2 linked regions of the Lonchura striata genome follow. The main gene of each other region encodes a partner of the protein of the gene in region 2 in a complex. Links are inferred from orthologs where the notes say so. Each region holds a gene or a part of one and is shown on either strand. Other genes may lie near its edges.

Region 1 (7,430 bases), on a different chromosome or scaffold from region 2:
TTTCCAAAGGCTCGGAATTATCCAAACTAATAAGGTAAATATTGGGTCAACTGCAATGCCCCAAATATACTCTTCATTGCCAAAAAAAAATCCCTAAACTGTCAAGACATACTCCATACATACAAATAAATAACGTATTTACCTCGAAGAAAACATGCCAGACACTCTCCCACCCTCCACCTCAATTAAATAAAATTACCCTCAACTAGCTTCGAAACACTGTTTTCCAGCAGGGGCAGGAGGCATGGGGATCAGTTAGGAACATCCTTAGTTTCAGAACAGGAATCTAGTAGCATTTCTCCTGCCTTCATCTTAGGCAAGCTATTTCCAAATAGTCTGCATACTTTTCCATATAAGGAATATCTCCCTTGGATCTATATGCGGCTCCTTTGAACAAGCTAAATAAATGTCCTGCTAGGAAGCTGCCTCTCCTATGGCAGCCTGCACAGAGCAGACATCTGATCCACATTATACACGGATCCCTCTCCCTTGTTCCTTTGAACACTTCTGTTTGTTAAGTTCTTGGGTTCTCTTTCAAAACTATATATCTTAGTTGCCATACTGAAGCTAAATCTTTTCTTTCTTTATTCCTTTTAGAAATAAAATAAGATAAAAGCATATTGTCTTCTATGCAAAGTTGTTGTTTGTAACGTTTCCATTTTTGAAAGTATCCTTCCTACCCCTGAAATACTTTGCTTGCTTCACTTGAGGCAACTCCTTTTCATTTTGGCTTTGAGGTTGGCTTTTAGAGCTGAGCTATAGGAAAAGGAGGGTCATTGCTTTGGAAATACTGCAGTTTCATCTAATCCTGTAATTCAGACCTGAGATTTACTCAAGGAGAATTAAATTGTCCAACAGCAGCAATAGAGACCAAGACCTTAACTGCACAGACTATACTCTTATGGTTCCATGCATGCGATCCATTAAATGCATGTCAGGAACAGACAGGTGGGTGGGATGAGGGCCTGGGAGAGGCACAAGCTCTTGCCTTATTACCATATAAAGTGCTGAGCTATATATATCTCTCAACTTGCTCCCAGGATCCCTGTCCTATGAACTGCAAAACTAGCAAGTATCATCTTCCAGACATTTTTCTGTCACACAAGACAACTTTTCTTTGACAAGTGAAGCAGTTCCACTGATTCCAAGGGAGGGGGGAGGCGGGGGGAAGCAGGAGAGAACCTTTTATCTCAGGGGCCAGTGAGCCAAGCCAGTATCTACCAGCAGTTCTAACACATGCATACCTAGCAACAGCTGTCTTGAAAACAGAACTAGCAGTCCTTGCTCTTCTGGATCTCCCTCTCCTGCACCTACTCACTATTAACTCTCTGCTTCTGTTTCACTGTCAAGACAGTGTTGTTCCAGCCTGAGCCGTTTTACCCATCATCTGAATAGATAAATCACCATTTCTTTACTTTCACATCTCGAGTGGCAAGTACACATAAAAAGCACACATCAAGTGAGCAAAAACCAAATCAGACGCCTCTGATAGTGTGCAAACCTCATGCAGGGAGGCAGTGCTGTGTTTCCCACCTCCCTGTCCAGGAGGTGCCTGGACTCTGCCTTCAGCAAAGCTTTGCAGTGCTGCTGAGTAGGAGTCCAGGCTGTCCTGAGCAGAGGGAGTGTGTGGTTTCTCTTTCGGGCTTGTGGCGAAAGGGATGGGGGTAACTTACATCTGTGGCCTTTTTGTCAGCCAGTTCCAACTTTTCCTGTGCATCTTTAAGGGACTCGGAGTATTTGTCCAGCTCATCCTCAGTGGCCTTCAGCTTCTTTTGTAGAGCCACCAGCTCGTCCTCCAGCTGTGATATGGGTGGAAAGTGGTGGAGAGGGGAGGGCGGGCAGGAAAAGGTGCAGCAGGCAGCGTGATCGTGCAAACGGAGAGGTGTGAGTGCAGAAGAGACAGAAAAGGACAGACAGAGAGAGAAAGAAGGAGAGACAGTTAGATCCTCTTTGCTTGCAGCAAGGGCACAATACCTTGGCAGCATTCTCCTCTGCGGAGAGGAGGCTGTCCTCAGACTTGTGTAGCTCTTCCAGCACTTGGTCCCTTGTATCCTCCGTCCCACGCAATTGCTTTTCCAATTGCACAATGTCATCCTCTAACTAGGTGCACAAGAGGAAATATAATGCACAAGTATGTTTCTCCCTTGGCTTAGAAAACTGTGAAACTAATTTATAAATCACTCTTCCTTTCTCCCTCCTCCTTCAGGATCTCCTAGAAACGTGCAATCGATGCACCCCCCTCCCCGAATCGAGAAGTCCCAGGGGGGTTGAAGAAGGACAAAAAGGTGGGGCATGCGTCCGGAGAAGGGTGGGAGGGCAGCTGGAATCGGACACATCTGCTGAGGGATGATGGAGTGGGCAAACACAGCTTTAACTGTCCTTTGCCAAATCGCCGCACATCTGTCCAGTGCTAATCAGGCGTTCTGGGCAGCCTCCCTAAGCCGTCCCCCTGTGACAAAGGCACAGAGGCCACGCAGCCGTCCCGAGGCCCTGCTCCCTAGCTGGAATGGTGGGGAATGGTTCCCGCCGCGCCCCCGGGAACCTCCAGCCGGTGGCTGCCAGGCTGAAGCTCTGCCTTAGGGAAAGTTCAACCAGTTCTGCAGGGGCGCGGGGCTGCAATATAACAAAGTATGGTGACGGGGGAAGAATAGGGGAGGAGGTAAAAAAAAAAAGAGAATAGTCTGGAAAGATTTGCGCCCCGGCGCTCGCTGCGCCCGGGCCCTCGGTGCAGACCTGCTTGCTTCTCTCCTCCGCTGCCTTCTTGTCCGCTTCGGCTTGCTCGGCTCTGTCCAAGGCGTTCTCCTTGTCCAGCTTCAGCATCTGCATCTTCTTCTTGATGGCATCCATGGTGGCGGTGGGCTAGAGCGCGTCCCCGTGCGAACTGCTTCCGAAAGAAAAACTTTAAAAGTTGCGGGACAGCCCCGAGTCCGGACGCAGGCCCCCGGGGGAGCGGAGTGCAGCTGCCGGGCGGCGGGGTTGATCCGTGCGGGACGGGGCACAGCCGAATGCAAGCGGCGGGCAGGGAGCGCCTCACAGATATGTACTTTCCCAGGGGGCTGACTGCATTCCTCAAGACATCCAATACTTTTTTGGAAAGGGCTTCTTTTCTTCCCTCCCTCCCTCCTCCTTTCGTCCCTACCCCTTTCCCTCTCTCACTGCCCCCGGGTTTTTTTTGGGAGGCACAGCCTTCCCATTCGCTGCCGCCTGCCATTTGACCGCAGATATGACTATATATGGGATGCGATGGGCGAGGTAAGGCGGGGGAGCAATTTGTTCCCATTTCTAAATAGGCAGGACGGGACATTTCGCTGCTACTCCCGGGAGGGGAAAAAAAAAAAAAAAAAAAAGGCAGCAAGACGGAGCGAGGGGAGCTGAAGAGACGGGCGCGAAGGCTGCTCGCAGCGGGCAGGGTGTCTGGGTGACACCGGCCCCACGCGGGAGCCGTCCCCACCCGTGGAAATCAATCTGTTCTACAGCAGGAGGGTGGCGGAGCCGATCGCATCAGGCGGCAGGGGAAGGCGGGCCTGCGGGGCACGGGGGTTTGCAGGACGGGCAGTAGGGGGTTAATCGCATGCACGTACGGAATGAATGCGTTCCGAGACCTCCCCCCGGCAGCCGGAGGAGCAGAGGAGGAGGGGGCACCTCTCCTCAACAGCCGGGCCGCAGCAAATGTGCCCATGCAGAGCCGGGCACGAAGCCCGGCCTTTGGGATGAGACCCGGGCAGGGCTGGCCTTCCGCCGGGACCCACACCGAGGGGAAGGGGCCGAGCAGTGCCGGGACAGGGCAGAGGTGCCAGCGGCTGCCCGTGCTTCCGAAGTGCACCGCTCTCCTCTGCAGTACCTGGCCGGGGCTCCTGGCCCTGCAGGGAGATGCGCCTCGGTACTGCGCGCTCAAGGGCGCAAGGAGGAACAGAAAAGGCGGACGGGAGCTACTGCGACCCTCAGCGGGAGCAGTGGGAAACCTGCCCTGCCGGGGGTATCCAGAGCTGCGAGGGAAGGAGCCCAGGAATAGCTGGGGCAGGGAATCTAGCTACAGACGTGACTTGCACCCTTTCGTAATGCCAGTGAGGGACAGCAACAGATAGACAATTAACAAAATTGCATATAATTAAGTGAAGACCTATTTAATTCACTTCTGGCGTGTCTCTCACAGTCTCATCAGCAGAGTGAGCAAGACACGACACGTCCTCAGGACGCACGCTCCCTTGTACAGCGTAGAAAGTACAGGGATGTGCATAAGTCCCACAGGATGTGGGTTGCACAAAGAGAAAATTAGGCAGCCTTTGTCTACACTCAATACTTGTAGCAGAAAATTCCTCCGTGGTGCTGTCACTGGATCAGCTGAACTGATGTGACTTTGCAGGAGGAGGGAATGTCCTACAACTTCTGGCCCATGGTGCTTATCAGGGCAGTTAAGGGCTTGATTTGCCGAGCAGACCTTGGAGGCCAGTTCCTGGAGAGCTTAAACAAAGCTTCAGCTCTACAAGATAGCAAAGCCCCCTGATGAAGACCAACAGTTACAATCCCCAGGTCCTCAGAAAGGCCATAATCTGAATTAACCTAGGAACTATACAAAATTCAGAGGCTCACAACTTGGAATGGGGATTCATGTGTGCTGCTCCTAGGGAGCAGAAGTCCACTGTTAAAATAGCTTTCCTTATGCCTACTTAAAGAAAAGACATTTATCACTGCAGTCCTTTCTCACTCCATTGATTTAATAACCAAGCTAGTACAACAGTAAAAATTATTGAGTAAAACATTGCACTATCACAGAATGTTTTAAAACACAAGAGTATTAAAAAAGTACAGATTTAGTCACAACCAACTCTAAAGTGTAGTTTTTCTCTTTGCACTTACTTTGATTTCACACTACAGTCAGTAAAGATTAGGGCCTTTCTGAAATAAGTATAGTGAATATTTAAAAGATACCTAGTTACATATTGTTCAACAACCTGACGTCTTTGTTAAATGTATCAGTATGTTTTAACCCTAGTTTAGGAGAACATTTTCCTCTGCCTTAAAAAACATAGAGTATCATTGTTGGGAATTCACTGAGGTAGCTCTTCTCACTTTGGGGAAATAAAATATCTTGCGAAATTAAGCAAACAGCTGTCTGGCTAATTTGGGAGGGGTGCACAGGCTCTTAAAAGAATGCCTGTGCAGCTCCTGTTTGAGTTTTCTGAAAGAATATTAGTCACGACATGGGAGCCTCTAGGATACAGAAGAAAGTATGAGATACAGGTAGAAGGAACACAAAGTTTAAAAAAAATACCTGCAGGATGGTATCACCTCCACAGGAAAAAAAAAACCAAAAAACATTGAGGTTCTACTTACATGAAAATGTGCAGTTAATAAGTTTGTTTATAGCAAGATGACCTGTATCCAAGGGGCTGAACTGGCTGATGTTGATTTAATTTTTGTTTTCCTCCTGGAGAGAATATGAAAAGTACAGACATGTGTTAACATGCTTGCTATACCTTTCATTAACAATTTCAATTACTTGGAAACTTCTGTTCCAGCTGGCCAAGAAAGATAGGCTTAGAAATTAAATAGCTTGTATAGTCTCTCCCTCTTTAATTGATATGTGAAGACAGATTGTATGCAAATTATTTTTAATTACTGAAAGAAGAAGGCAGCACAAACTTTGCTTTTATGACATAGTACAAATTCTCTATTACTTGTCACCTCTTTTTTCAGCACAATGGCTTGGCTCATCTCATCAATAAATGGTGCAGGAACTCCCTAGCAATAGTTTCACTTTCTTCTGGGGAATACCTACTGAACTATTTTTGAATTCTGTTAATTTAACTGGGCTCTTCAGAAAATCAAGACAGCAAACTCAAAGCACCAAGAAAGGATACCTGGTTTTAAAATTTACAACTCCTTCTGTGAGCAGGTGATGCCACAATTCAGGCTTACTGACAGTACAATACAGAGTAAGGCTGGGACTTGTTTATATAATGATGTTTCTGTCATGTCACCTATCCCTTGACATGGGCAGAAATTTGCCTTGAGGAGGATCTGCTCTTCGAGCATAGATGGGGTTGGTCATAGGGGGTTGATTCTGGTAACAGACAAAAGGGTAGGTGGACATAATCACTTGGAAAAATTTCAAACAATGCCTTTGGAGTTGCTTTACCTACTTACTCTTCTCCTGGGTCTCTTTTTGCTTTGGGTTGTGGGTTGGGGTTTTTTTGTGTGGGTCTTTTTTTTTTTTTTTTTTTTTTTTTTTTTAGGAATATACAGGAAATGACACCTAACAACTGGTTCTGCCAGTTCTATAAAACATGCCTCCTAAAAAACTAGTAAGGATTCAAGTTAGGTCAGTCAGAGTGAACTCACAGGCCTGTATGTCATTTGAAAAGTGTAGTGTTCCCTCACATGGAGGCAAATATAAATGAAATATAAACCAATTTCTCAAAGGTCTCTGAGACCTCTGCTGCCCTTGTAAAACAGCAATGTTCCTTTTGGATAAAGGGAGCCAACAATATGAGTGTAGGATATTATAAGAAAATAGGAAATTGAAAACATCTGTATTCACCTAGAAAAACAAATAAAATAATACTGATGAAATCAGGTAGGTTTTACTAGTACAGTCAGTGTATTTTATCCTGTAAGGATCTCCAAGAGCTTTGCACTAAAAAAATTGAGGGACAATATTTCTGAAAGAAGCATAAAAAGGGCAAATTTCTCCTGGGGAAATTGGTCATCTATGCTTCAGCCATAAGGGGAGAGAAAGCCCTAAAACAGAAGGTAGGAATCCCAATGGCCAGTGCTCTGCACAGCTCAGTAGGCAGCAAACAAGTACAGAAATACTCCAGAACATGCCAGTCATGCTTAATTCATGCTGTAACTCTGTAAAAGGTTTTCAGTACCATTTCCTAGGTAATGGTGGAGAACAGTTTAGCTTTTGTGATTAAGAACTATGAGATGATTTGTTGGAAAATTAAGATTTAAATTATTTTAATAATTTTCCTCTTCTGAACTAATGTTTCTGTTTGGCTTGTCATTCAAGAAATTAGTGAACTCCTTAAGTAAAAATGTATTTATAGCACAGTCTTCTGCACCTGCCCTGATCTATAATCTGAGGGTCTACTCAGATACCACACCAAATGCTAAGAAGCACATGACCTAACTCATGACCTAAGATCTTAAAATAGCTCTGAGAAGGTCTTTTTTATTTTTTCCCTAAGACTCCTTTCACTCTAATTGCACTACTGTTATTTGCTAGATTTCAGCTGAGCAAACATGTCTCCCAAGTTTTTGTATTATGCTTTCTTTTAAAATCAGATTTGCTTTAGCTGGTAGTTAGGAGTTACTAATGTCATTCTCTGAAAAACATCTACAAAAAACAAGTAACAGAAAGACAAAACCCAAATTTCACTCTTGGTATGATGTTTTTCTACATATTTCTCTTTATAGCTTCAGAC
Region 2 (7,291 bases):
TCTGTATGCACTACTTTAGCAGTACTTATGTTTTAATCTCTGTAAAATACTAGATTGTATTTTCCAAAGTGAGTACACTCTGCAGAGACACAGTGATTCTGTTTCTGGAAAACAGAAGTGTTGCTAACAGGACAGCCTATTTTTAGACAACCTGTGCAGTTTTAGGTTTGCTTAGTTATCTGGCTCTGAAAATAGAGAACTGTTAAAATGCAGAGTACTGTCTCACAGTTTTCAGCAGAATTCGGTGCTGCGAAATATGCAAAAAAAATGCTAATTGTAATGTTTGCAGAACTGTGACTCTTAATGAAACAGGACATGGAGTTGTTTCTGCCTGATGTTCCTGAGCATTCAGTATCTTGGGGTCTTGCAGGGTCTGACTGCATTGTCCTGCACACAGAGATCTTGTAGGACTCAGTCCTATTGCTTCTCCTGCAGCAAGGCACTTATGCTGAGAGATACTGTGCTACCTATAGGTTTATTATGGGATTAAGATTTATATCTGTATCTTCTATATATGTGTAGGGCTTTAAGACTTGAAAACACCAGGTATCCAAAACCCTGTCTTCATGCCTTTGGTTTTATATCTTGAGGAATATATACTACAGATGAGCAGAAGGAGGTGCCTTTAAATTCACTCTTGATATGTTTAGTGATGTTAAATTAATAAAAACCTACTTTTTTTTTGAGTGGCATTTCTGAGGTCAAAGGCAGAATTTAGTTGCCTGTCATGTACATCATCTGGTGTCATAACAATCTGCATTATAATTTTGAAATTGAATACAGAGACATATTCTTACTGTAGCAGCACTGTGGTACAAGACTGATGCAGGCAACCTGTAGGGCTTCACCTTACTTTGTGGGAGTAGTATGATGAAAAGTCAGGACTAAGAGAGTCAATGCAGAGGTAAATATCTTGGGAGGACAAGTTATTAACCCTAAAAGGCTATCTGCAAGTTGTTTGCCTTTTGCACCAGCTGATCTGTCACCACTAACTATAGAACAAGCGTGAATAGCCATCTTAGATAAAGGTGCATAATTTCTAGACAGTTGAAAGCAAGAAGAATATTGTTTTCAAGGACCTTTCTCATTGCCATCAGTGGAGAGAGTCTTTGTGACCTCTATATCAGCATATCAACTTGCATTTTGGAAGTTTTTTCTCAGATCAAAAAGTATAGTCTTTTGCCAGGACTTGGAGTTTTAGCCAGTACCCATTAATGCTGTATATACATGGAAAAACAAAAGAAAAAGAAAGATCCTGCCATTGTATGAGATACTGAAGTAGACCTGTTCAGCAGTTTTTTAGAAGTGCCCAGGTTTCAAGTTCCAGGCTAAGCTGGAAATAAACATTAATCTTGCCATTTACTCTCTAGGACTGACAAACAGGGAGTGAAGTCTATGTCTGCAAGCTGATACTAATGGTCTGATGACAGCTACTGTGCTCTTGCCTGCAAAGACCTTATACCACCATTCATGAACAAGAGAAAATACTTACACGTAAAAACATCCTGCATATTGCAGGGCAATTTAATCTCTCTGACTTTCCTCTAGGATGATATTTTATCTAATGTATAAACTGCAATTATTTCCTTGTAAATTAAATAAGCTCCTGCATCAAGGCTGTTAGAGGTTCTGAGTTCAGTTTTGCTGTCTTTGCCTCTGTTGTATTACTTTCTGCTTAAACATGGGAAAACGTGTCCCTATAAACACAGTAAAAGCTTGGTATGAAGCAGTGCTTAAAAATCCCCAAGTCCCCACTTTGTTTTGAAATTACATGGAGCCATCATGAAGATAGAAGTTGCTTTTTGGTTGGGCTCAGTCTCACATACTCTTTTAGCAAGAATTAGGAGTGCCAACATGGATATCAGCTGAGTCTGAGTGTGCTCACTGCTTGCCAAGACTCAGACCTTCACTCCTGCCCAGCTGTACTGCTTGTTTGCAGTTCAGGAAATGGCTTTTATTACTAACATTTTTATTTTTGGGGATGAGTTGCCTAACAAAAAGTATTGGTTGTTTTTTTGAGAATGCAGTTAAATGGTTTGACTGATGATTGTATCCCAGGCCACCTTTTAAATAATGTACAGCTGCCCTCTGACTACAGTTGCCAGAAGACTCCTGAACCATGCCAAGGATCCTCAGCAGGAACAAAGCAACACAAGCTGCTGACTGCAATACAAGATGCTTTCTTCCAGCGAGCACAAAGCCTGGCATCCGCTTACTCAACTTCTGACATAACATGTATTCAAAATTATCTTCCTTACATGTTTCTCAGCAGTCAATACTGGCTGGTTTTTAAGGAAAGGCATTTTGCGTAGCTTTCTTAAAAAATCGAGTGCTATCCAAAAGACCACATCTCTAGCTATTAATAATTTCTAACATGCCCTTTAATTTTTTCCCTATTTTAATCACTAATGATAGTTTTTGTAGCACTTTCTTCTGTTCTGAACAGAGCACTTAAGGTACTTTCAGAGAGAATAAACATCCTCTGAGCAAATACTCAGCACTTTAGCAGGCACAGAGGTATGCCTAACAATGTTTTTAAAAATGCTACAAGAAACTGAAAGAAATTAAATCAGTCAGTGAGATCATGCCAATGCAGAATAAAACCAAATACCTATAGGAAACAGCAAATGCCTCAGCATCTTACCTTCTCGCATGCACCCAACCTCTCTTTTTCTAGGAGTTTCTTGGTCTCCCTCTCCCAGTAGGCCATCAGTGCTTCCCTGCTGAAAGTCCCTGTTGGTGTTTTCTCTGTCAGGCTCTTCTGCCGCTGCCCCACTGGAAGGTTACGGTCGGGCTCTATGTCCTCTAGCTCCCGCTCCAGCTCTTTCAGCTCCTCTTCAGTGAGAGAAGCCAGGAGCTCATCTTCATCAATGTCTTCATATTTACTCAGCTCTCTTCTATACCCAAAGGTAGACATGGTCCTGCTTGGTCAGGCTGGTACAAAGCTACAGTGACCAGGCATTCAAGAAGGCTGAAGCAAGCAGGCTGTCTCGTGTGGTCAGCAACTGTTTCCCTGCATAGCCAGAGGCACCCTTTTAAGAGTAATCATCGGGGCTTACGACAATGCATGAAGGGATGAAAGCATGCTCCGTTTTAAGCATCAGACGTCAGCTAGACATCTGAACAGCAAGAATGTCCCAACACTAATGTTTGCAAGTCCCTTAAAGAGGGGGATTATTGACACACTGGCCATGGCCATATTTAGAGCAGGCAGCTAGTGGGAGAATACCAGCCTCGCAGACGGGGGGGCGGCACCAAATAAAACCCCGGGTGCACTTACACTGGCATCAAATCCAAATTGCAGCAAGGAAAGAACAATGAAAATCCATTTAATCCTGAGTTGTCACAGGGCTGGAAATAAAACACCCTTGCCGTTGTTCAGTGGACTTCCTCTCACAGTTTTCTAGTGGAATGCTGTTATCCCACCAAGGTGTTTGCAGGAGGTTGGGATCAGCGGAAAGGCAGCCAAGGGGAGGAGGCCAGCATGCCAGCAGCTGTGGGGAGCACTGCTCCCGCAGTGTCACACATTGCTTGTAACAAATCACACCATTTAATTTTTTATTCATTCCCTTATTTTTTCTAGGACTATCAGAGTGTGAATCAGCTATTCATGTCCATTTGGAGCACCGGTGAGATTTTTTTTTTCACATGGAGAACTGTGCTCTGCTGGAGGAAAAGGACAGTCACCCAGAGATTTAAGGGTAACAAGCCCTGGGTGGGCAGGGGGGCTGCTCCTTCATCACTTCTGACAGGCCGAGCAACTGAAAGCCTCTAGTGGCTATTCTTTTAATGGCTATTGCTCACTGCCACTGACTGATGTGCACCTGGAGAGAGCCTTCAAGTCTTTATTCTAAATGTATAGCTACATTATAGTTTCTTCTAATAGATTATAAATTATTCTGATTTTATTTTTGTTGACAGGCATCCTTCAGCAAGAAGACTTAAAAAAAGAAAGTGTAAACTTTGTGCTGTTTATTGTTTGTTTTTCTGATGTGGGTTTTTCTTTTTTTCTATCTAGCAGTGAATGATGATGAACTAGCAACATCTTCTGAAACATGATGGCCACCAATAGCTGCCAACCTGTGTTGTGAGGGGCGGGGGCAAAGGAAGAGAGAAGGTTTTGGTGCATGGAAGTAGGAACACATCTAGAACAACATGTATCAACCTCAAATGATAACACACAGTGTGTCTTAGACAGTCAAGCCAATATTTAATAGAAATGTAAGTAAACATAATCTGAAGTATTGTTCTTTTCTGACATCATCTCTTTTGTCAGTATGGATTTGACACCTGAACTGAGGTATGTTGTTTAGCCAAATTGCTCATTTAGTTTCATTATTATGCATACAGCTTTACTGACAGTAGAGAGATGAGATTATCAAATCTTTATGAAAATCATGCTCAAAGAAATTATATTTTTTCTTTGATAATTTGTCTATATGAACTTCATGCAGTCATCTTGATCAAGAAATGGTATGAAAGCTTATAACCTTAGTCTTTCCTAACCTACAAAATACATTAATAAAGCAGATATAAGAATATTCTACACCTTAATATAAAATAAATATTTACAGCTCATTTACATTGACAGAATCTTGGATAAAATAAAAAGGAGGCAGATGCTTGGCTTATGGAGTTACAAGTGTTACCTTCAACCTTATACCTTCATGGTATTCAGTCCCATGATGGGCCAAGTACACATAGACAGGTCAGGACATCCATAGGAGTTCTGTTCACTCTCTCAGCTGCCCTTGCAGAATGAAGCCTGGGCCAAATTCTGAAACGAATCTTCTGAAAGACTAGGAAAATATAATAAGTTCCTTTTTTCTTTTAATTCAGCATTATCAATGCTTTTTGGTAGAGCTGGCATAGGCTTTAATTATCTGTATATAGCTGCACTCCAAGTAATTTTATTTCTTTAATATGTCTAGGACAAAAGTTCACATTGTTATCATTGGAATTAGCCAGAGAAGCAGCACAACAAAGTTATATTTCTTGAGTGCATTTTTGCTGACAACATTTTGTTGCAAATATTTTTTGGATGGAGTTGGGAAATGTGAACTGAACAGATTTTCTGTTGGAAAATGCTGATTGAAACTGAAATGCTTTTCTAAATATGCTATATTTTATTAGTACAATGTAGATATGTACAACACTGATGTGTACAATATTAAAAGCAAAAATATGTTGTTAAAAAATAAATCTAGTCAAATATACTGTTTCCCAGAAAAAAGGTCAGCTTTTTGTTCTTCCTTTTTTTGTCAGGTACAACAAAATTTGTAAGTTTTTCAATTTTCCTGAGCTGAGAGCCCATTATACAAGATACCTGAATTGTCTATTCGAAGTTTTCTATGTATAAACCAAATTTTCCAAACTCAAAGAAACTTTAAAAAAACAGCATGTATTTTTCATTTTTAAAATAATATTCTAAAGGAATAATAAATAACATGAATATTACCTTCAATGCTACTCTCCACACTGGTGATATTTTTTCTACACAAAATGCCAATTATGTCCATTCTAGCCATGAGATAAGAAAAAGGCATTACTAATGATGGACAAGGTAATTTCTTGTACATTTCTCCCCTGAAGCAGGGGGAAAATTGTCAGTCAGGTGAGGTTGTGAGGTTATGAGAGGTTTGTGTCCCTTCTTGATCCTATATGGCACTTGTGGCATTTTAGAACCTATTCTCTACAGGGGAATGGCCAAAGTGAAGAGCCATGAATGCTTTCTAGGACAATTTTAATAAAAATAATAAGGCTGTAGCATATGGCAAATTACACACAGAGGAAAAAAAAAGATGCTAAAACTGTTAAGACAAGTACTGAGAGGTCAGAAAATTTGTTGTTGCCTCCTGATGAGCACTGAAACACAGTCCATAGATCTGTAATCATATACTTTGATCCTAGACACATGAGTGCTCAGAATCTTTACTTAGAACCTTTACTCTTTTTCATTCCATGGGAAAGATCACACACGCATTAAAAGCCTTTCAGCATTTTATTTTGCCCCTGTTCTTCAGCATAGTAAAGCTATCAATTATCTTAATTGTCATGAAAGTACCCACTAATTTGGAATTTTGGATTCCCTTTCTGGCAGTATTTGGCATTATGCAAGCATTTCCACTGCAGTGGGCATCAGCCATGGCTGAAACTTCCCACCCTTACAACATTCCATATCATAGGTTCTAACTTCCTAGAGGAACTCAGAGCAGACAGAAGTGATTGTGTTTTCTTGTTATTAACATTCTTACTTCAAACATTTGTTCCTGTTTCATAGTCTCCTTTCTCAGGCACTACACATACTTTGATTTTTGAAAAAAAAAAAACAAAAAACAAACAAGCAAAAAACCCAGAAGTCTGAGCAAAGTGTTCTATCTCCCTGGCTGTGTTCTCAATAACACCATTATAAACAGTTTAGGAAGAGTCCATTGTGTGCTAGTGAGGTGGCACAGGGAACTAACTTCCTTCCATCACAGGAGGCAGTGAGTAGAGTATGAACCATATGTAGTACAGGAGGGCAGATTTATAGTGGCTACATTGACTGCTGTTCAGGATGCATCCTACAATTAGACATTAGGAAAAATCTCTTCATGGAAGGGGTTGTTAAGTATTGGAACAGGTGTCCATAACTGAGTCACCATCCCTGCATGTATTGAAAATATGTGTAGATGTGGCATTTAGGAACACAGTTTAGTTGTGGTCTCAGCAGTGTTAGGTTAATATGTGAACTTGATGACCTAAAAGATCTTTGTGATGATTTGATGAAGTGCTTTGCCAACTCCTAACAGAAAACCCAAACTCTTATCCCTAATGCCCTGCTGAAATCCTGTATGCAGGGAATTAACCATTTCACCAACAGGCATGAAAACTCACCTCTCATTCAACAGAATTATTAAAAGCTTTGTTCACTTCAGAACCTGAGCTGAGAGAAAATGAGAACTGGAAGCATCCATTTTATAGGAGGAGGATTCACTCTATCATTGTAGACCTTGGCAGCCAGAGTTCCTGGCTTTCAGCAGCTAGATTTCAGAGAAGACTTTCCATCTTTCATAACCTTGAGGAAAGATCAATTATTGTCTTGGTTTTACAAGAGGAAACCCTTCTAAGTGTCCTTTTTGCCTTTCCAAGCAGTTAACTACTTCAATCAGCAGCTATGGGAACTCTGTTCTGCTTCTCATGTTTCTACACTTGAGGCACATTGGCTCAATTGCTTAAAGGCCATGAGCAACATGTGGCAGGTGGTGCTCGCCCCTTAGCAGAACAAAGTCCACAGTTAAATGTATATTTC

The links. The genes of interacting proteins can lie anywhere in the genome.
Region 1: the proteins of LMOD2 (region 2) and uncharacterized protein LOC110483956 are in contact, whole or in part, in an NMR structure (PDB 6UT2), measured with the Homo sapiens proteins. The link is inferred for Lonchura striata from reciprocal best matches to the Homo sapiens genes LMOD2 and TPM1. Residues at the interface, in NP_997046.1 of Homo sapiens: Lys12, Tyr13, Leu21, Leu22, Leu25, Glu29, Glu32, Leu33, Arg35, Glu36, Leu37, Asp39, Ile40, Glu41; in NP_001018005.1 of Homo sapiens: Met1, Ile4, Lys5, Met8, Gln9, Met10, Leu11, Lys12, Asp14.

Annotation. Positions count from the first base shown.
Region 1 is NC_134613.1:7,964,066-7,971,495, forward strand, and holds the start of uncharacterized protein LOC110483956, read right to left. Parts: upstream 3,055-7,430; 5' UTR 2,848-3,054; coding exon 2,734-2,847; intron 1,800-2,733; coding exon 1,674-1,799; intron 1-1,673. UniProt on the Homo sapiens protein: Binds to actin filaments in muscle and non-muscle cells. Plays a central role, in association with the troponin complex, in the calcium dependent regulation of vertebrate striated muscle contraction.
Region 2 is NC_134607.1:31,822,780-31,830,070, forward strand, and holds the start of LMOD2 (leiomodin-2), read right to left. Parts: upstream 3,021-7,291; 5' UTR 2,918-3,020; coding exon 2,645-2,917; intron 1-2,644. UniProt on the Homo sapiens protein: Mediates nucleation of actin filaments and thereby promotes actin polymerization. Plays a role in the regulation of actin filament length. Required for normal sarcomere organization in the heart, and for normal heart function.